3 linked regions of the Tamandua tetradactyla genome follow. The protein of the gene in region 1 interacts with the protein of each later gene in a pairwise test. Links are inferred from orthologs where the notes say so. Each region holds a gene or a part of one and is shown in the gene's direction. Other genes may lie near its edges. The genes, in order: AP4B1, ZNF576 and TEPSIN.

Region 1 (7,307 bases):
AAGAAGGAAAATTAGATATGACTTATAAAATCCAGAAGGCAAAATAGCAGAAGAAACTACTACCCATGCAGTAATAACACTGAATGTTAATGGATTAAACTCTCCAATCAAAAGACATAGTCTGGCAGAATGGATCAAAAAAACAGGACCCATCTATATGCTGTCTCTACTCAAAGGACATGAGGCCAAGGACACAAATGGACATTTTACACATCAATGTTTATAGCAGCATTATTAAGAATTACCAAGAGATGGAAACAGCCAAAATGTCCATCAACAGACAGCTGACTAAACAATCTGTGACATTTACATAAGATGGAATATTATGCAGCTGTAAGACAGAATAAAGTTATGAAGTATGTAACAACATGAATGGACCTTAAGGACATTATGCTGAGTGTGATTAGCCAGGAACAAAAGGAGAAATACTGTATGGTCTCACTGATATGAACTGACATTAGTGAATAAACTTGGAATATTTCCTTGGTAACAGAGACCATCAGGAGATAGAAATAGGGTGAGATATTGGGTAACTGGAGCTGAAGGGATACAGATTGTGCAATAGGACTGAATATAAAAACTCAGAAATGGACAGCACAATACTACCTAACTGTAATGTAATTATGTTAAAACACTGAATGAAGCTGAATGTGAGAATGATAGAGGGAGGAGCGCTGGGGACATAAATGAAATCAGAAAGAAAGATAGATGGTAAAGATCAAGATGGTATAATCTAGGAATGCCTAGCATGTATAATAATAGTGAAATGTACAATGTACAAATTTTAAAAATGTTTTTGCATGAGGAAGAACAAAGGAATGTCATTACTGCAGTGTGCTGAAAATAGATGGTACTTAGTAGTTTAAAATTTCAACTAATGTGTGAGACTAAAGCAAAAAATGTTTATTTGTTACAAAATTTATATTTTGACTAGAGCATTTCCTAATATAACTCATGTAGATAGTTTGATTGAATGTCATAAGTACTTGGAATCTCAGGTAGGACATGAGATTTTGTTAGTTTGTCCAAAGTGATGCCCCGATGAATTCCAGAGTGATTTGATCAGTGACTAGAAAAGTGTTTGCAAGCCCCCTTTGGGGAATGGTGAGAGTGGGGAGAAATTCAACTTTCCCTAGTTGAATTCCTGATATTCTCACAAGCAGTGTGGACAACCAAAGCTATAGGCTGAGCCCCCAGTCTTGGGGGTTGTTCATATGAAACTTAACCCCACAAAGGATATGTCAAGTCTACTTAAAATTTAGGCCTAAGAGTCACCCCCAAGAGAGCCTCTTTTGTTGCTCAGATGTGGCCTCTTTCTCCAGCCCACATGACGAGCAGTCTCACCACCTTCCCCTTCTCTGTGTGGGACATGACTCCCAGGGGTGTGGACCTTCCTGGCAACGTGGGACAGAGATCCTGGAATGAGCTGAGACTCAGCATCAAGGGACTGAGAAAAACCTTAGAATGAACTGAGAATTAACATCAAGGGATTGAGAGAACCTTCTCGCCCAAAGGGGGAAGAGTGAAAGGAGACTAAGTGTCAATGGCTGAGAGATTCCAAACAGAGTTGAGAGGTTATCCTGGAGGTTATTCTTATGCATTAAGTCAATATCACCTTGTTGTTCAAGATGTAGCAGAGAGGCTGGAGGGAACTGCCTGAAAATGTGGAGCTGTGTTCCAGTAGCCATGTTTCTTGATGATGATTGAAAAATGATATAGCTTTCACAATGAGACTCTGTGAATGTGAAAACCTTGTGTCTGATGCTCCTTTTAGCTACTATATCAACAGAAGAGTAGAACATATGGAATAAAAATAAATAATAGGGGAAACAAATGTTAAAATAAATTTAGTTTGAAATGCTAGTGGTAAATGAAAGCGAGGGGTAAGGGGTATGGTATGTATAATCTTTTTTTTCTCTGTTATCATTTCATTTCTTTTTCTGTTGTCTTTATTTCTTTTTCTAAATCGATGCAAATGTTCTAAGAAATGATGAATATGCAACTATGTGATGATATTAAGAATTACTGATTGTATATGTAGAATGGAATGATATCTTAATGTTTTGTTTGTTAATTTTTTTAATTAATAAAAAATAAAAAAAATGAAAAAAAATGCATAGAGCACATTGGAATGTGGCGAGTACTATAAAAAAAGAGAAAGTAGAATTGGTATAGGGAATCAGGAGTCGGGAATATGGAGGGGGTGGTAGGCATGTCGTGATTTTAAATAAGGTAGTCAGGGCAGGTTTCATGAACAAGGGGAGATTTGTACAGGGACTTGACAGATTGAGAACTGTCAAAGAACCTACATTCACTAGCTATGGGTGAGAAAAAGGAAACTACTCACCAATCTTTATATTATGCTGTGGGTGCTTTCGAATGAGATTGACAATCTGGCGGGTAGCTTCTTGTTGGGAAGGAAGAACCAAGGCTGGGTTGCAATTGGTGTTGTCTAGGTATAAGGTATGGATCTGCTTCCCCGGTCGCAGAGCTGGCTCCTTCAGCATGGCTGGTGTATATCGAAAATCACCTGGAAGAAGAATATAAGGGGGGTGGGAGGTGGGCAGAATGTCAGAAGCAAAAAAATAGAAGCCTCCCCTACCCCCAACAACAGATGGAAATTTGCTTACTGGCCCATGAAAAAACTATCATATGGTCTGGCACTGGATGTATGTAGCATAGCATCTTTGTAGAAATGTCCTCATTTTGCTCTTACTTTTCAGTTACTCTACATAAGGCTGGGGCTCTTCAAAGAGTAGGATATGATTCAAAGGGTCATTGTGCTCATATGGAATGAAGCTAGAAGGCTGCCAGACTTCTATTAGGAGTAAAGGTTGCTAAAGAGGAGAGTCTGAGAAGATGGAAATGACCCCTTAGGAGGCCCACCTGTGTAGAGGATGGTTCCAAAGTACCCTTCAAAGAGGAACATGACAGAGCCAGGACAGTGATTGGCATCGATGAGGGTTACAGTCATGGTCTGTCTTCCAAGTTCATCTAGGGGCAGTACGTGGCTCTCACCAACCTCCAGGGCTCGTATCCACAACTTAGATACCTGAGGAAACAGCTGGTCATCCAACAACAACAAAGTCCCCTCCCTGATACCTCCCTGGATCAGGGACTATCACTTTCCCAAATCAGAAAGCTGGGCAAATTCTGAGCTCCCCTGAAGCAGAAGCTATAATGGGGATCCCCTAACAATCCACCCTGGCCCCTCCCTCTCAGCACTCCACCCACTGTCCACAAAACAGTTTAGTAAGGTGATTCACAAACTTTTCTGAGCATAATAACCCTTTGGGGGCACTTGTTTAAAAATTTCAGCCAAATTTTCCTGGCGATTCAGGTGGATAAATGACAGAGCTGGAGAATTTGTATATTTAGCTAGCATAACAGATGGACTCTTACAATGAGGTGAGTTTGGGGAACATCCTAGCTTATGCGAAAAGATAAGGAATTAGGTTACCTCATTTTCCGGGCTGGACTAGAAGATTTCTCTAATTATATGTGAAACATGCCAGGTTGGCCAACTGGAAGCCACACCCCTATACTAGGCTAAAGATGCATTTGTGGGTCCAAACAACTCCCAAATTTGGAAAATGAATCCTCCTAACTCTCCATCTCTTAGACTCCATGGTTGTGACAGCTCCTCTCCCCCAGTTTCTTCCCTTGAGCTTGGAGTACCCACTCAGATGCCCAGCTCAGCTCTCTGGAGGCCCACTCCAGCCCCCCGCCACCACCCCCATACCTGTAGGTGACGATGCAAGAGGTAGGCAGTGACTGGGGAGCAGTAGAGGGGACGGGCCCAAGTGCTGGACAGACCCACGGTGTGGTCCGAGTGCATGTGGGACAAGAAAAAGAGCCGCGCGGAACCAGCCCGGCGCAGGCTCCAAAAGTCCACAGCAATGGGCGTATGGGGGATCAGGGCCCCGTTCATGGCCGCGGGGTTGGAGAGTCACCAGTGGGATCTTCACGGGGACTGGGCTGCTGAGTGAGACTTCCCCAACCGCGTCCCGAAAAGAGTCATGTCAGGTTAAGAACAGGGCCAGGAATCCTACGGGAAATCCAACCAGAAGAGGAATAAGTTACTGGAGTGGGCACAGAGAAGGAAGTGAAAGCGTTGGCGGGAGGCTGAGAGTGGGATCCCGGATCGCGGAAGACGCTCGGCACAGCGTCACTCCCACCCGCGCGCGGGAGCCGGGACCAGCCGGGCGCTCAAAGCGCGCGCTTATAGGCGAGACAGGCCGAAGTAGCTGATTTCCGATTGCCCGCAGCAGCTCCACCAGAGAGGGGCGCGTTTGCGCTTAAGGTGAGAGGGTGGCAGAAAGGAGCCCTGAGAGCAGGGTCCGGGCTCCCCTCGGCCGCTGGCTGGGAGAAGGTGAGTGGCAGCTGCTGTGTTTGGACTCTCGACCAGGGGGCGGGACTTCCGGAGAAGGCCGTGCTGGGCTTATCCGTGCTGGCAAGCGCGCGGAAGCGCGAGAAAAGCCGGCGACTTGGAGGTTGGGAGTCGGGCGGAGGGCCTGGAGACTGTGGGAGCTGGAGCGCTATTTGGGCGTTCGGGGTAAGGGCCTGAAGGCCCTATGATCAGGTTAACCGGGGAAAGGGGAAGGTCGAAGACTGAGTGTCCGAAAGCCAGGTTTCCGGCCCTGGAAAGCCCGGGCTGGGGTGGGGTCACGCTCTTATCTTTTCACTAACTGACATTTCCTTTACGCAGGTTCTTACATCAAAGAGCTAGAAACACGGTTTACCTGGGTGGGACCTGTGGGAACTGCTCCGTGACTCTTCCACAAGATGCCGTACCTCGGCTCGGAGGACGTAGTGAAGGAGCTGAAGAAGGCTCTGTGTAACCCTCACATTCAGGCGGATAGGCTGCGCTACCGGAATGTCATCCAACGACTCATTAGGTATCACCCAATCCCTCAAAAGCCCAAATCCCCCACTGCAATCTCTAACCCGAGCCACTCGGAAAGAGGAAATGAACTTTCGTATATGGCCGTTCTAAGATTTGGGTCTCATCCTGCTTTTCGGGAGTGTGAGCTCACTCTCCTTTATGGGACTTCTTTTATTCAGATGGGAGGTTTCACCCCATCACGGGCTTGAACAATTCAGCTTACACCGATGATTCCCGGATCTATAATAGATCTACCGCAGACCTCTTTTCTTAGCTTCAGACCACAAGTCCACGTGGAGATTAAACACATGCTCCAAATAGCACTTACATCCTTCTCGCTTACCTCAACCTGCTCTTCCACTTGTATTTGTGTTGATGAATGTCACCACCCAGTCGACCAAGCCATGAAGAAAAATGGGAGTCAACCTTTATGACACCTAGTCGTTCACTTCTCATGCCATATGGTAGGGATTCATAGTTCTAAATGTCCATTCTCCCTTTTTTATTGGCACTCAGGCCCTCATTACCAAAGCAATTGCAATAGCTTACTGGTAAGGCACCTTGCTCCTTATTTCAGTCAATGTTTTTTTCCAATATGTAAATCTGAACACATTAACTCTGTTGCTCACAGAGGTCTCAAAATTTAGTATGGACAAAAGTCCCTTGAGATGCCTTTTTAAAAAAATTTTTTTTTATTAATGTTAAAAATTTTTTTAAAAATATAACAACAAATGCAAACATTCTTAACTTATGTTCGTTCCGTTCTACATATATAATTCACAATATCATCAAATAGTTGCATATTCATCATCATGATCATTTCTTAGAACATTTGCATCAATTCAGAAAAAGAAATAAAAAGAAAACAAAAAATATTCATACATACCATACCCCTTACCCCTCCCTTTCATTGATCACTAGCATTTCAATCTAAGTTTATTTTAACATTTGTTCCCCCTATTATTTATTTTTATTCCATATGCTTTACTCATCTGTTGATAAGGTAGATAAAAGGAGCATCAGACACATCATTCATTATTCAATCATCATCAAGAAATATGGCTACTGGAACACAGCTCTACATTTTCAGGCAGTTCCCTCCAGCCTCTCCATTACACCTTAACTAAAAAGGTGATGTCTATTTAATGCATAAGAATAACCTCCAGGAAAAACTCTCCACTCTGTTTGGAATCTCTCATCCATTAACACTTTGTCTCATTTGGTTCTTCCCCCTTTCGATCGAGAAGATTTTCTCGATTCCTTGGTACTGAGTCCCAACTCATTCTAGATTTCTGTCCCACGTTGCCTGGGAGGTCCACACCCCTGGGAGTCATGTCCTACATAGACAGGGGGAGGGCAGTGAGTTTGCTTGTCATGTTGGCTGGAGACAGAGGCCACATCTGAGCAACAAAAGAAGTTCTCTTGGGGGTGACTCTTAGGCCTAATTTTAAGTAGGCTTGACCTATCCTTTGTGGGGTTAAGTTTCATATGAACAAACCCGAAGATTGGGGGCTCAGCCTATTGCTTTGGTTGTCTGCACTGTTTATGGGAATATTATGAATTCAACTGGGGGAAGTTGAATTTTCCCCTTAGGGTGCTTTTAAAAAATGTATATTTTTCATCTACTCCAAAGATCTCCAGAGATTCTGAACTTAGTAGGCTCAGGTGGAACCCCGGAATCTGAATTTTTAACAAACATCTCTGCTGATTCTCATAGGAAACCATAGTTTGAGAAATAGTGATCTATGGAATAAAATCAAAACTTACCATAGCACCCAAGGAACACCCTACCTTGAATGTTACCTCAACTTCCTGCCAACTCTCAAAAGAATGTGCCATTCTTGCCCATGTTTACGTGCCTCATAGCATGTATCATCACCTGTCTATTATCTCTGCCTGGTGAGTTCCTGCTTGTTAATTAAAGTATTACTTCCTCCGTGAAGAAAGCCTTCTGACTTGCCAACATTGTGAGACCTCTGGATTCCCACTGCACCTTGTACATTACTTCTATTATAATATTTATCATGTTGCATTGAAATTACTGGTGTTCTTTTCTGCCTCCTTACTACATTTGAATTCCTAGAGGTCTGAGACCATGCCTTCTTCAAGATTATGTGCCCAGAGCATACCCCTGGAATGTAAAAGCTGAATCTCACTGGAATGTACTAAGGGTTCAATAAGTGTTTGTTATTACCAAGACATGTATAAGTAAAACCCTCTCTATTATAGGTTTAATTTTACTTCTTGCCATGTGTTGCAGGCACATGACTCAGGGCTTGGATATGTCGGGTGTTTTCATGGAAATGGTGAAGGCCAGTGCCACTGTTGATATTGTTCAGAAGAAGTTGGTTTATCTGTACATGTGCACATATGCCCCCCTGAAACCAGATCTGGCTCTGCTTGCCATTAATACACTGTGTAA
Region 2 (7,349 bases), on another chromosome or scaffold:
AAACAAATGCAAACATTCTTAACTTTTCATCATTCCGTTCTACATATATAATCAGTAATTCACATCATCACATAGTTGCATATTCATCATCATGATCATTTCTTGGAACATTTGCATCTATTCAGAAAAAGAAGTAAAAAGAAAACAGAAAAAAATTCATACATACCATACCCCTTAACCCTCCCTTTCATTGATCACTAGCATTTCAATCTAAATTTATTTTAACATTTGTTTCCCCTATTATTCATCTTTATTCCACGTTTTACTCGTCTGTTGATAAGGTAGATAAAAGGAGCATCAGACACAAGGTTTTCACAATCACACAGTCTCATTATGAATGCTATTATCATTATACAATCATCTTCAAGAAACATGGCTACTGGAACACAGCTCTACATTTTCAGGCAGTTCCCTCCAGCCTCTCCACTACATCTTGACTAACAAGGTGATATCTATTTAATGCGTAGAATAACCTCTCGACTCTATTTGGAATCTCTCAGCCATTGACATTTTATTTTGTCTCATTTCACTCTTCCCCCTTTTGGTCGAGAAGATTTTCTCAATCCCCTGATGCTGAGTCTGAGCTCATTCCAGGATTTCTGTCCCACGTTGCCAGGAAGGTCTACACCCCTGGGAGTCATGTACCACGCAGACGGGGAGGGTGGTGAGTTTGCTTGTTGTGTTGGCTGGAGAGAGGGGGCACATCTGAGCAACAAAAGAAGTTCTCCTGGGGGTGACTCTTAGGCCTAATTTTAAGTAGGCTTGACCTATCCTTTGTGGGGTTAAGTTTCATATGAACAAATCCCAAAATTGGAGGCTCAGCCTATTGCTTTGCTGTCCCCACTGCCTGTGAGAATATCAAGAATTCTCCACTTGGGGAAGTTGAATTTTCCCCCTTTCTCACCATTCCCTGAAGGGGACTTTGCAAATACTTTTTTATTCACTGTTCAAATCACTCTAGGATTTATTGGAGCATCACTCTGGACAAACCAACAAAATCTCATGCCCTACTCAAGGTTCCATGTACTTATGGTGTTCAATTAAGCTGTCTACGTAAGTTATATTAGGAAATGCACTAGTCAAAATATAAATTTTGTACCAAATAAACATTTTTTGCTTTAGTCTCACACATAAGGTAAAATTTTAAAATATTGATTACCATCTATTTCCAGCACCCGGAAGTAATGACATTCCTTTGTTCTTCCTCATGCAAAAACATTTTTTAAATTTAGTACATGGAATCTTGAACAGGGTGTGAGATCTTGTTGGTTTGTTCAGATAAGTCTGATGCCCCAGTATATCCCAGAGGAATTTAGACAGCAAGTAAAGAAGTATTTGCAAAGTCCCCTTGGGGGACTGGGGAGAAAGGAGGAAATATACAACTTCCCCATCTGGGGAATTCCTGATATTTTCTTAAACAGTAGGGACAACAAAATCAATAGGCTGAGTCATTGATCTTGGGGTTTGCCCCTATGAAACTTATTCCTGCAAAGAATAGGCTAAGCCTACTTCTAATTATGTCTAAGAGTAATCCCTACAGAACCTCTTTTCTTGCTCAGATGTGACCTCTTGCTCTAAGCCAACTTGGCAGGTGAACTCACTGCCCTCCATGTTATGTCAGACATGACTTCCAGGGGTGTGAATCTCCCTGGCAACGTGGGACAGAACTCCCGAGATGAGCCGGGATGCAGCATCATGGGATTGAGAAAGCCTTCTTGACCAAAAGGGGGAAGAGAGAAATGAGACAAAATAAAGTTTCAGTGGCTGAGAGATTCCAAACACAGTCAAGAGGTTATCCTGGAAGTTATTCTTAGACATTATACAGATATCCCTTTCTAGTTTATGTTGTATTGGAGTGGCTGGAGTGAAGTACCTGAAACAACTTTTGAGTTGTGTTCCAGTAGCCTTGATACTTGAAGACAATTGTATAATGATATAGCTTGTACAACTGACTGTGTTATTGTGGAAATCTTGTATCTGATGCTCCTTTTATCAAGGGTATGGACAGATGAGTAAAAAAATATGGATAAAAAATAAAAGGGGGGCATACAGGGTAAAATAAATTGGGTAGATTGAAATACTAGTGGCCAATGAAAGGGAGGGGTAAGGATATGGGATGTATGAATTTTTTCTTTTTCTGGAGTGATGCAAATGTTCTAAAATGATCATGGTGATGAATACACAATTATACAATGATACTGTGAGCCACTGAGTGCATACCATGTATGGACTGTACATGTGTGAAGATTTGTCAATAAAAACATTGAGAAAAAAAACTATCGGGTATATGGAATTTGGAGGCAGGGCTTATATGAGGCAAAGCTCACAGGGCGTGGGCTTGGAGCAAAAAAGAGAATTGGGATTGTACTTGGGCCTGTACTGCAGCACTATTTGACATGGAAAAGGTCCCAAAGAGTGCTCTGTCCTGAGGCCGGGAAAGAGGACAACCAGTGAGGGGAGAAGCTTCATCTACTAGTTCCTACCTGGGACGTGTGGCTAAGGCAACATTGGGTGGGTGAGAATAAGGAAAAAAGTTAAGCATTAGATCTGGACAAGAAGCTACCTCTCTGAGAGTTCTGATTGTCTATAAAATGAGGTGTATGGGGCTTGGGGAAAAAATTCAGCAGCAGGTAGCCAGCAAGTGGGCACAGGCCAGGACCAGGAGCTGACCCTTAGTTGGGGGTGGAGCGCAGATGACAGAAAAGGGCCAAGCACAAAGCCCTGGCCTGGAGTGGGGCCTTGCTGACCTCAAAACCTGTGTTGAAGGATGGGACTTACAGCTTGCCCAAAATTCACTGGAGCTGAGTCCTCGCAGACTTCAACAAGCACTTTAAGGGCCCTTTTCCCCACCCCCACCCTTAGTTCTCGCACTCACCTCTGCAGAGCTTCCGCTTGGCTCTCCAGCACCGCCCGCAGGCGCTCCAGCTCTTCGCAGCGGTCACCGCTGCCGCAGCGGGTTGGCACCACGAAGAGAGTCGCGGCTCCCAATCCTGCGCTGTCCAGCAAGGCCTCTGTCTCATCCCGGGCCCGGGACTCATTCTGTGAATCCCCGGGCTGGAGGGTCCGCACAGCCAGCAGCGGAGTCCCCCGGGCCAAGGCATCACGCGCCGCCTCTCCCAGCGCTGGCGCCAAGATCTCCCTGTTCCCCTCGGGTCCGGGCAGCACCAGTACCAGCACGTTGGCCTCTGCAGCCCACGCTCCCGGCGCTGCGGGTGGGCAGCTCAGCTCGCCCAGGAAGAGGCCTGGGCCGGCAGCCCGAAGGATGGGGACCCCAGTCTCCGGCCTTTCCTCGGTGGTTTCGAGTGTCTCCACATCCTTGTCGCACAGCGCTGTGATCAGCGCAGACTTTCCGGAGCCCGGGGGCCCCAGAAACAAAGCAGTAACGTCACCCCGTGATGAAGGCATGGCTGGAAAGCAAGATGGGAAAGACCCCGATCAGGGAATTTCCCCAGCCCTTTTCTTTCCTAGTCTCCCCACTCCGTACCCAGAATCAGTCCTCCGCCCCGACCCCTCCTCCCATTCCTCAATGTCATTCCCCAGGATCCAGAAACCCAGGCGCCAGGCCGAACTCCCCAGGTACGCAGGCATCCTGCTTACCATCTTTCCGGACGCAAGCGTTTGCTTCAAAAATTCGAGAAACGCGGGCTCGAGTCCCCTTCTCCCTCGGCGATATTGAGTATTTTACTTCCCCACCCCCACCCCCCACCACCACCATTTCCCGGAGCACTTCCAAATCACTAACCGAGCTGTCGACACACGGGCGAGCGCAGTTCGTGGTGGCCGGGTCAGGCCCTAAGAAGCCCGGCTCCTGTGCTCCGGGAGACGGAGGACGGAGAGACCAGAGCGCTCGGATTTGGGGACGTCGGGACCCGATCCAGGGGTTTTGATATCAGTCCCTGGAGGAAGAGGCGTGACTCGAAAGCTTGGATTGGAACATCTGGGCGGGGAACAATGAAGGTGCCAAAGCGCCTGCGTACCGCGAGCGCCTAACCATCCGTACGCAAAAAGCTTAAGTTTGTACGGCAATGGCGTCTTGCGACGTCATCATAACGCTCCCCCTGCCGGAGAAGGACCCCTCCCGCATTCGGAGCCCTGCGTTGGCGCGGCTACGCCGCTGCCCGGTGGTAATCTGGGATTTCGGCTTCCAGGGGCTCACGGGGCGGAAAGGCGCGGCAACTGTGGTGAACGACTGGTAGGCGCAGCCAAAGGCAGCCTTGTGCTGTAGGGAGAAAGTCAGAGGGCTCCGGAAGTCGGGAGCAGGGAACCGTGGGCAGTGCTTGGGACACAGGGACACGGAGCGGGTGAAGGCGTGCGTGGAAGGTAGAAGTAGTCACAGGATGCCAGAGGAGGAGGTCTCCCGGGAAGAGGCGGGCTAAAGGGTGGGACCAGAGTTCACGTACCAGACCTACGACAGGTGGGAGAGACGGGGATCGGAGGGACTTGCTGGTGTCAGAAATCAAGGGTCCCACGCTCTGAATTCAGAGTTAGAACCATGCAGGATGTCATAGGTCACACAGGTGAGAAGGCTATAGGGGAGTCACGAACTTGGGGAGTGGAATCCTTTGGGAAGTTTTCATCAGGTTAGAGTTCAAGGAGATGGCATGTCATGGGGGTCAAAGGTTGGCATGGAGAGTCTCTGTTGCGGTCAGAGGTCACAGGATTAGCGGGCCCTCTGACTGAGGCTGATGACAGATGAGCTGCCTCACTTGATTTACTATTCTGTCATTCATACTCCTCTATCGACTAGAGGAGTCTCAAGTCTCCATGGAGGACCTGCACCCACAAAAGACCATGGAGCAACAGGACTCGTCAAAAGAGAGGAGTTCCCGCAGCCCGGGAGGTGACATCTGTGAGTACTTCTAGCCAGAGAGGGTGGGGAACAGGAACTGATGCTAAAAGGATCTCTACAGCATTTCAGTGTTCAAGGCTGTGTGGGATGTGGTCCCTCCCTGAACTGCCTAACAGGAACTGCCTCTCCCCACCCTCACTACCCTCAGGTACACCCACCCTGCTCCTGCCACAGAAACAGGAATGGGATGTGGTTCAGAGGCAGACGTTAACATCCAGGACAGGCATGGGGTGGGAGATATAGATGGGAAAGGGCAGATTGAGAGAGAAGGCCTGAGGTTCTGGCCACAACTCTGTCCTGGACTTGCTGTGTGATTGGGCCTCCATTACCCTAGCTGTCAAAAGGAGCTGCCGTTACCCATCTCACAGAGCTGTTGGGGGGAATTTGCTGCAGAAAAAGAGAAAGTTGGATGTTAACAACGATAGCCGTTTGACTTAATAGCAAGCACTTCTACTGAATACTTATGTGCCAGACAGCACTCTGAGTTTAACACTATCTCATTAAGTCCTCCAAACAAACCTAATGAAATTGGTATTATCACTTTACAGATGAGAGAACTGAGGCAGAGAGAGATTAAGGATTAATAAGCATGAGAGCAGTAATGTCAGTGCCCTCCAGCCCAAGACCACCCACCAGGAACACACCTGTAGTTGAATACCGCAAGGGAGAACACACACCAGGGGGAGCTGTGGGTGGTCTCAGAGGGTATAAAAAAGGACTTACTATAGGATTAGGGTTTGTGTTAGGCAGGTTTGGGGAGGGTTCAAGGAAGCAGAGTTTTGTTGTGGATTGGATGCTGTCAGAAAGCAGGGGCCATTCTCTGATTAGACATCTTAATACATCTTATCTGGGAAGAAGGAACAAAGTGAGGCTGAAGCTGTGATTGTTAAAGCAGCAGCAGTCACTCCCATTAGCCGGGATAGGGGGATCTTGGGTCATTTTTGTGATTTGGACAAGATTCATGTTTTTGTTGTGTTCAGACATGACTTTAGCATGGTCTCGTTTTTTGTCTTGATTCTTCAAGGTCTCTGCATGGTCTTGTCTGATGTTCATGTTCTGTTGAAATTGTATATGTTCAACAGAACACTGAGACTTAGCTATGGGTTCCAGACCAGCTCTGGGATGTCAGGCTGCTTTTCTCAGTAGTAATAACTGCAGACCGCTGTATAGCACATATATATTTTCCAGGTACTTGAAAGAAAATAACCCATTTATCCCTCCCAACAACCCTATGAGGTGATACTGTTATTACCTCTTTTTCCAGAGGGGGGAACCAATGTCTAGGAAGTGATGGAGCCAGGATTCAATCCCAGGTAGACTGGCTGTGGAGATTGGCCTCTACCACCACACTGCTGCTGCCCATCACTCCCTGGGTTCCATCCTGGCTCTACTGGATGTTGCTTCACTTTTTGAGCCTCAGTCTGCTCATCTATAAAACAGGTTTAATAATAGTTCCCTCATAACTCTGTCCAGCACAGGCATAGAGCCTGGCCTAGAGTGAGTACTTGGTGCTATTGTTGGCCTGATTTCGGGGATCAGGAGAGGTCCTGGAGCCTCCTGCTGGCTTCTCCTGACATTTTCCCCATCCTTCAGGCCATCCAGGGGCCCTGCAGTGTACGCACTGCCTCATCACCTTCATCGATTCCAAGTTCCAGGAGCGACACATGAAGCGGGAGCACCCAGCGGACTTTGTGGCCCAGAAGCTGCAGGGGGCCCTTTTCATCTGCTTCATCTGCTCCCGCTCCTTCCCCTCCTCCAAGGCCCTGATCGTCCATCAGCGCAACCATGGTCCCGCCACCAGGTCCTCCCCACCGACTGCACCCACGACTCCCCAGCCCCCCTTCCCCTGTCCTGACTGTGGCAAGACTTTTGGGTGGGCCTCTTCTCTGAGGCGGCATCGCCAGGCCCACGAGGCCCGCACAGCTTCTGGCCCCTTTGCCTGCACCGAGTGTGGTCAGGACTTTGTCTGGGAAGCCAGGCTGCACCACCACTACATCCAGCACGCCCGAGGGGAGCTCTGGGGGCCTTGGAGAGATTTGCTTCCCTCCCCAGGAAGGCAAAGGGCTTCTGATAAATAGGACCCGAAAGATATTCATTTGGGGCTTCAGTCTTTGGAGAATATGGAGACCTTTAGGGAAAGAGTGAAATCAGCCTAACAGTGAGATCTTTTGTTTTCAATCAAAAATGTTATTTGTATTCCCCTCATTCCAATTAAATAGCTTTAAATCCCAGCTTGCTGCAGATTATATAATAACCTTTCATGCTTCCCAGATGTGTGCCATGGGCTTTTGGAGCAAAGGGCACTGCATTTGTGCTTTAATGGGCTACAGGGAAGATGAGGTGTGGCTGACTTGCAAGACTGCAGTGTTTCTAATGCAGAGCAACTTGGGCCTTTGGGGCTGGGGCAGCAGAGCAGGAAGCTGGACTCTGAGTCACACGGGGGCTGCAAGCTGAGTCTCTGGCTCTTCCTTCTCAAGGAGGGGCCACCCCATTGGATGGC
Region 3 (7,345 bases), on another chromosome or scaffold:
GGGGTGAGATGCCTGGATGCACTGGGCCTGCTGGGGAAGCGGTGCATGCTTCCACCCAGCCCAGACCAGGGCAGGAAAGACCCTCAGCTGAGGACAGAAGCAGCTCAGCCATCTCAGCTGCTGGAGAGCCTCCAGTGGCTTGAGGGTGAGGATAAAATGGGCCTCAGTCCTCAGAGAACTGCAGGCGTGGCTCTAGAGCCTGGAGCAGTTCACAGCACACCCTGGTCTGCCAGCTTGGATCTTGACTGCGCTGCTGATGGTGTAGGCAGCACCAGGCCACCTCTCGAATAAGCACCCTGTTGGAGGTGGAGCGAGTTTGGGGTGGACCAGAGGACAGGGGCTGAGGAAGGTCAGAAGGAAACGGGTATGGAGCTGCGGCCCGGCCGTGGTGCGGTCAGGTTCACTCGGCAGCACGGACCGGGGTTTGAAGGATGGCAGTGGGGGTGCCTGGTAAGAAGACACTTGAGGGGGGCCTGGGAACAGTGTATCCTGCAGAGCCAGACATGGAAATCTTTGTGGGGGGACATACCTGAAACCCTTCTGGAGTTCGTCAGAGGACACAGGAGAAGGCTTAAGGGCTGGTTGTGACCTCTGACCATGAAGGTTAAGGTCGGGACAAAGTGAAGAAAGCGAGTTGCAACCAGTTGGAGCAGCGGAGCGTGTGGGGAGAAACTCAACCAGAGGGGTGGGGTTGAGGTGCGTTCCCTTGCCCAGCCTTGCCCCCCTCGGGCCCCAGCTGCACCTCAGTGTCTCATAGCTGTGGGGTGGGAGGGAGCTGGCTGTTGCTGGTACCACCCCCAGGGGCACATTAGATGCCTGTAGGTCTGGTTTCCTGCAGTTCTTGTGAAATGGGGGGGCACGTTTCTGACGGGGCAGAACCCTCCGAGGTTCTCAGCAGTGACCGGCTTCTGCTCCAAAGCACCCTGGAAGCTTCAGGGTCTTGAGATTGTCCCACCCATCAAGAGATGTGAGTTTCCAGCACCTAAGAAAGCACTGGGCTGATTGGGAGAGATTTCTAAGAGGGGGGTGTGCTGACAGGGGCCACCCCCACCTCCTCAACAGGCTCAGCCAGAGTGCTGGCTACCCAAGGACAGTGTGACCTCGCCTGGAGTGAGGGCCAGACCCTTGGCGCAGTGCCCAAGGTGTCCAGCAGGTGGCGCGCACGGCCCTCCCTGGGTTCTGGCCGCTCAGTAGTCTTGGGGGCAGCTTTTCTCAGTTTCTTGTTCGCACATGGCCTGAGCAGATGGGGAGCAGAGGGATCCTGAGACGGCGGTCAGGAACTTGGGGCTCCCGGCGCCACGTGGGAGCCGACCTTTCTCCAAGTGGGACCACCTCTGTAGATTCCCTGTAGTAGGGATTTGTCAAGTTAACTACAAGGTGTCGCTTGTAATTTTATCTCAGGTGTACCATGTAAAACGGTAGTCAGGGCTGGAGGCTTCATTAGACTCAGATGGAGTAATCTTCAGACTTTCTTGGAATGTGTTCCCACATCTACTGCCCACAGGGTGTGTGGGCTGGGGCCCTTGGTGGTGGTCCCAGGAGGCCACAAGTCCCACACCCTCCACAGACGATAAAAGAGAAGCTGTAAGGGACTTAACAGAGTCTTTATTTTTAGCTCAATCATGCTTATCCCAACCCAAGTTCTTAACGTACACAAAATTGGCTAACAAGTCCCAACTCCGGCTACGGCCCACCTTGCTGAGGAGAAAGAAGATGCCCAAACACGCAGCACCTGAGCCCCAGTGGCCTCTTTAGTCCTAGGAGCTTTTGGAGGGTGCCACCTGGTGCCATCGGTTCACCCAAGCCGGGCTTTGAGGCGAAGGCTGGTGCCCGGCCATGACAGCCAGGGGCTCAGGGGCTCAGGGGCCCCCCTGTCGGCCTCCCTTCAGGGCCTTCTTGACCTGGAAAATCAAGTGTTTTGTCTGAGTGGGTTGTTTTCAAGTCAGACCCAGGGCAACAGGAAGGGAACTGCCACACCAGATGTCAGCTTGCCCCAGATACAGGGCGCCCGGGCCGTCTATGTGGCCGTGGCTTGGCGGCTGTGGGGCAGTGCCCCTGAGACTGGGTCTGGGATATAGCCTCAAGGGTCAGAGGGCTCAGGCCAAGTGTGGACCTTGGTTGTTGCCCGACCATGAGGGCCCCCCGCCCGTACCAGACACCCCCAACATGCACCATGTACGGTCCTCACACAGTTAAAGGAGGTGGCAGGGGAAAATGTGGGCTAAGCTATGCTAAGATGATGGGCCCCAGGGTGTGGCTCAGGAGCAGGGCTGGAATGGGAACCCGGAGCCCCTGCAGCTTCCTTCAGCCCCTGCGACTACAGGGAAAACAGGCACAAGAATGGCTCAGCAGCAAGTTTCCATGTCAGCAAACTCAAGTTCCCCCCCAAATCCAAGCCTGCAGGCAGGTCTTCTTTGAAGTTGCAAACAGCACGTTTGACTGAAACAAGGGGATTCTCTGGGTGACGGGCCTGCAATGTGCTGTCGGGAGATCCTTACGGGAATCAGGAACTAACAAATAGGGCAAGGCCAGGGCAGTGAGGGGGTGGGGCACAGATGGCTACAGCTCTGGACAGTTAACTCCCCAATCTGCATGTGGCTAGGAGCATGGGACCTGTGGTTCCCATACGGAACCTCCCACAAGAGCCACTACTCAAGCAGAGTGCAGGTGGCCTCAGCGCCCTTCCCCTCAGAAGGCCATAAAGCAGAGGCTGCCACAGGAGGGAAGCAGGTGGAAAAGAGCAAGAACGTGCGACCCACACTGCTGAATAACCTCCGCAAGGTAAGGAGGAGTCAGCTGGGGGAGGAAGGGAGCTGGAGTTTCTGAGACATAACCATCGCCAGAAAGTATGAGTTCTGAGCCTTCTGGAAGGCTTCCCAGTGTGGGTGATCCTGCCTTCTCCCAGTCCTTTCTGCTCTGTATGGTCTTGGGACATCAAGAAAGGCTGCCTTGGATTCAGCGAATTCACTGAGCTTTTATCCAAGTACCACATCTGGACCAGCAGCTCCCGCTGATCAGAGCTGATGACTAGCATCACAGCCCACCCGGGACTAACTGAATCAGGGGGCTGACGTGACTCCCAGTGACGCTGACCTGAGAAGCAGCCCCAGAACAGTGCCTAAGGCCCTGGTGAAGGCCTCAGCAGCAGATTCTCGCAGGTCCTGGGACACCATTGAGGAGGGCAGCTCCATCAGGCTTCCCCAGGGACCACCCCTGCTTGGGTCTCTCTGCCAGTCCCCTCAGACCCTTCCTTCTTCCTCCCAATCCTTCATGCAAATACACAGACACAATGTTGTAATCCTTTACCATATACGGTACTTGGCAATTTTCACGAGGCTTTCCCTGGCACAGCATCTGGTTGGACAAGGATTGGAAAATGCCAAGCTCGGAAATGGAAGGGACAGGTTCATGTATCAGGGTCATACCAAGAGATCAGAGGCTTAAGAACTAAGTCCAGCACCCAGAAAATGGACTCTTCCCACTACAGCCAGCTGCCATTCCTTCTGGTAAGAATCAGGCTAGTGAGGCTCGCCTAGAGGAATGCAGCTTGGCTTCTCAGTCTGCTGCACACCAGAATGAACTTATCTGTGGTGGACTCTCCTAGGCTATGTGCAGTAGCTAGGGCACGTGTCCACTGGATCAATCCAGTAGATCCGGTTCTAATTACAGACCCACCATCCCCACACTGGGCAAGAGCACTGGCCAAGTTTAAGACGCAATGGAAAGCTTGGGTGACAAACCTGCCCGCTGGGGTTCACACTGGCATCGGCCCCGTGAGAGCTGACACTGATGCTACGGTTTCTGTTAGCGTTTTGGGATTTATAAAGCACTTTTACACGCATCAGGGTCGTATCAGCGCTCTGCATCGCGTCTTCCGGGCTGGTGTGTCACACCCACTTTAAAAACAGGTAAAGACTCCAGGACAGCAGGGATTTCGTAGGCTTTTTGTGGGTCGATCGGGTCGCCCAGCGCGTAAGGCCCCCCGTAGGCGTTCAGACACCAAAGAAAAAGGGAAAGCGGGCCTTTCGCCCAAACGTTCGCGCTCGCGTCCCCAGTCTGACGCCCACCTACCGCGGCGGCGAAACAGCTCCGCAGGGCCTCGAACTCCTGGGCGCAGAGGTCCTTCCTCAGGCGGCCGCCCGGGGCGGTGGAGGCCTGCACGCACCTGCCGTACGCCGCAGCCTGGCGAAGGGAACGCGCGCGGGTCGCCGCGGCCCTCCGACCCCCGCCCCACCGCCTCCGCGGCCCTCTGGGTCCCCGCTCCCCGCTCCGCGCTCCCCCAGCTCTCCGGCTCCTCACCTCTGCCCCGCAGGTCGTCAGGTGGTCGGGGAAGGCGCGGAGTCGGCTCCGCACACGACTCCAGAGCGCTCCGTTCGTTGACATGAGTGACTTCTTCCGGCACCCAAGGGAGCCGCCACGCTGGGTCCATCCTCTTCCGGCACCCAAGAGCTTCATAGGTTTACTTCCACGCCTATAACCTCTCCTGGGCTTTCTATTTGACCAGGCCGCTGGCCTCCCAGAGTCTTGCGATTGGCTCTTGCCACTGCCGGTTTCTACTCTGGGGCTTTGGATTGGCTCGGGCTCACATTGTTTACCGGAGACGCGCCCAGGGCCCGCCCCGACCAGAGCGATTGGCCAGCGTTTGTAGAGCGCGCGCGGTGATTGGAGAAAGCCTGGAGCCTGGCGGAAGCGAGGGTGGGTCGGAAGGGTGACCGGGATCATGGCGGCTGCGCCGCTGCTGCGCGACCGTCTGAGCTTCTTGCACCGGGTGAGTGAGGGCGTCTCGAGCCCCGGCCCCAGCCCGCCTCCCCGCCGGCCCCCGTCCTCTGCCCCACCTGGCGCCCACGGGCCGGTCCGACTGGACAGGTCGCCCGGGTGCGGGCTTCATTCTCACGGGAGTGAGCTGGGCCCCTTCAGAAGCGAGCTGTGGACCCCCGTGTCCGATCCTTCACCAGGAAGGGGTCACCGCGAGTCCCAACTCGCTGCCGGACCGCCCCAGACCCCCTCCGGCCGCGCGGGAGTGCGGGGAGCGGGCGCGCAGCCCCCTTCCCCGCCCAGGGCTCCCCTCCCCCCCTTCTCCCTTGGGTGGGACCGTGTGCAGGCCTGACAGACCCGGGCCCCCGATCACCCCCCACGCCCTCCCGGTGGGCGTTCGTGTTCAGGCTTGCTTGATCCAGATGCTGAACGGGAGAATGGCTGTTTCCACCTCTGTTCCTACGCACAGTGTGTGCTTGTGCCAGGATCTAAGCACGTTGCATAAATGTTTGTGCTTGTAAAAAAATACGCAACATGAATGCGCTCCTGTTTCGGTGGTCATGTCTGCAGGGCCGGTTCCCCGTTCCGGGTAATAAATAGGGCCACAAGGTGTTCCTTCTGAACTGTCTCGCATTGCTGGTCTTGGCGCTGGCAAGGTGGAATCGTTTGCAGTTCCCCTGCCTGGGAAGGGGGCTCTCCACGCTGGTATGCTTTCCTAGTCTAATAGATCTGTGTGTTAAAGCCGCCTTTAAGGTGGCTCACCCATCTTAGTAGGGAACAGAGCAGCTGTCCAACTGGAGAAGCCATTGGTAAGCCCAGAAACCAGGGGCCCTCAGGGCACTGAGGCTGTTCTGCTGGCTGCTGCCTTGGCATTTCTGTCTCCTCAGAGGCGGTGGGCTCACCCCCATGGACGTGGTTCTGCTCACTAGGGCTGGGGACCCTTGTTCCCTTCCAGCTCCCAGTTCTCCTGAAAGGGACGTCGGACGATGATGCTCCATGTCCCGGATACCTGTTTGAGGAGATTGCTAGTATCCTTCCTCGGCATCCCCAGGGGCTGGGTGAGCAGATGGTGGGGCCCTGAGCGGCACAGGGAGCTGCTGGGGTTCTCTTCTCCCAGCTGGGTTCCACGGGCTCTGTTTCCATGGCAACCAGGTGCAGGCATGGTAAAAAATGGCATCACTGCTCACTGAGGCCTGGAGACACCGGAGACCCAAACGTAGCCTTTGGACTGAGGCCACAGCCTGCAGTAGGTCCCTTAGCGTGCATGTTGGACACACAAAGCCAAGCAGATGGCAGTGGGAAATCCCATTTCCTCACATCCACCAGTGGGCCCCAGGGTCAGCTTGCTCCTTCCCTAACCACGTGCCCCAGAAATCTCCCATGAGTCCCTGGGCAGCAGCCAGTGCCTCCTGGAGTACCTGTTGAGCCGGCTGCAGAATGGCTCTGGCCACGTGAAGCTCAAGGTGAGTTGGTGGGTGACAGTGGTGTGGGTCTACAACTGTCCCAGGTCCTTCTCAGGATGGGACAAGTCAGGGCCCCAGGTGTGTACCTTAGAACGAAAGGCATATGGGCTATGGCAGGGCGGGGCTGGCTGCTGGGCCCTGCACCTGAGTGTCCTAGGAATGCACCCCACCCAACCTCTGCCTGTCCTGATCCCCCCAGGTACTGAAGATCCTGCTCTACCTGTGCAGCCACGGCTCCTCCTCCTTCCTGCTTATCCTCCAACGCAATTCTGCCCTCATCCAAGAAGCCGCAGGTACTGGGGCTCCACACGCCCTCTTGGGGAGCACTGGGGAACCCCAGATGTGGGCAGAGACGTCAAGTCACTGTGGTCTCAATGGGGAAGACTTCTGCCAAGCTCCCTTCGCGGGGGCCTGGTCCTGTGCCTGTCTCACTGGTGCTCAGCCCCTGCTGTTCCTCATGCTGTCCGTGCACAGACGTCTGTCCTGCAGCCCATCCTCTGCTCTTCACCTGCCAAACTCATCCTTCCCGGCGGCCAGCGCGGTGTCTCTCTTCCCAATCTCTCTGACCTTTCCCTGCCCGCCTCTCCCCGTGGGGTCGCTGTTCCTTCTGTTTGCATCTGTACAGGCACTGGCCTCGCTGTAGCAGGATCATTCCTTTCTCTGTTCACGCCTTCCTAGGCCAGTCAAGGCACCAGCCTTCCCCCCGATCCCCAGGGCCAGACCCATGCGGGCACCTTGGTGAGCGTCTGGCCGGGCAGCAAGGACACACCTGCCCTCCACACCTCCTCCCGGCTCACCTCCCCGTCGTGGGTTCACGCTTCTTCCAGGGCTGCTCCCAGAGTCCCAAACAAAGGGTGCTCACAAGCTTCCACTTCCCAAAAGACTGTGGGAGGACATGACAGGGAGGCCGTCAGTAAAGGGGGCTCCCGGCCTGTCTTGATCCTGAGTAATACGTGGGTCTTCCCTCTTCCCTGACTCCCTTCCCCACCCAGGCCACTGCAGTCAGTTGTCTTTCACCAATATGGAGCTGGTGCAGTATGGCCTGGAATCTTTCACTTAGGGTCGGGGTCTCCAGGCCAGAACCCACCAGGTCCTCCTTAGGCCGTTGTTCGCAAGTGTGTTCCTTG

What was found.
Region 2: the proteins of AP4B1 (region 1) and ZNF576 interact in binary tests that used the Homo sapiens proteins (3 or more experiments, as listed by UniProt). The two-hybrid records come from large-scale screens. The link is inferred for Tamandua tetradactyla from reciprocal best matches to the Homo sapiens genes AP4B1 and ZNF576.
Region 3: the proteins of AP4B1 (region 1) and TEPSIN interact in binary tests that used the Homo sapiens proteins (3 or more experiments, as listed by UniProt). The link is inferred for Tamandua tetradactyla from reciprocal best matches to the Homo sapiens genes AP4B1 and TEPSIN.

The regions. Positions count from the first base shown.
Region 1 is NC_135337.1:7,778,337-7,785,643, forward strand, and holds the start of AP4B1 (AP-4 complex subunit beta-1), read left to right. Parts: upstream 1-4,252; 5' UTR 4,253-4,372; intron 4,373-4,413; exon of another isoform or gene 4,414-4,630; intron 4,631-4,708; 5' UTR 4,709-4,785; coding exon 4,786-4,898; intron 4,899-7,145; coding exon 7,146-7,307. Other genes in the region: DCLRE1B (5' exonuclease Apollo), read right to left, coding at 2,348-2,530, 2,887-3,052, 3,743-3,931.
Region 2 is NC_135342.1:21,196,160-21,203,508, reverse strand, and holds the start of ZNF576 (zinc finger protein 576), read left to right. Parts: upstream 1-4,326; 5' UTR 4,327-4,492; coding exon 4,493-4,517; intron 4,518-4,747; coding exon 4,748-4,849; intron 4,850-6,442; coding exon 6,443-6,927; 3' UTR 6,928-7,349. Other genes in the region: IRGQ (immunity-related GTPase family Q protein), read right to left, coding at 2,876-3,407, 3,598-3,715. UniProt on the Homo sapiens protein: May be involved in transcriptional regulation.
Region 3 is NC_135332.1:73,513,839-73,521,183, reverse strand, and holds the start of TEPSIN (AP-4 complex accessory subunit tepsin), read left to right. Parts: upstream 1-4,243; 5' UTR 4,244-4,299; coding exon of another isoform or gene 4,300-4,455; 5' UTR 4,456-4,720; coding exon 4,721-4,768; intron 4,769-5,710; coding exon 5,711-5,783; coding exon of another isoform or gene 5,784-5,813; intron 5,814-6,126; coding exon 6,127-6,218; intron 6,219-6,417; coding exon 6,418-6,511; intron 6,512-7,345. Other genes in the region: NDUFAF8 (NADH dehydrogenase [ubiquinone] 1 alpha subcomplex assembly factor 8), read right to left, coding at 1,860-1,901, 3,307-3,354, 4,072-4,182, 4,300-4,455. UniProt on the Homo sapiens protein: Associates with the adapter-like complex 4 (AP-4) and may therefore play a role in vesicular trafficking of proteins at the trans-Golgi network.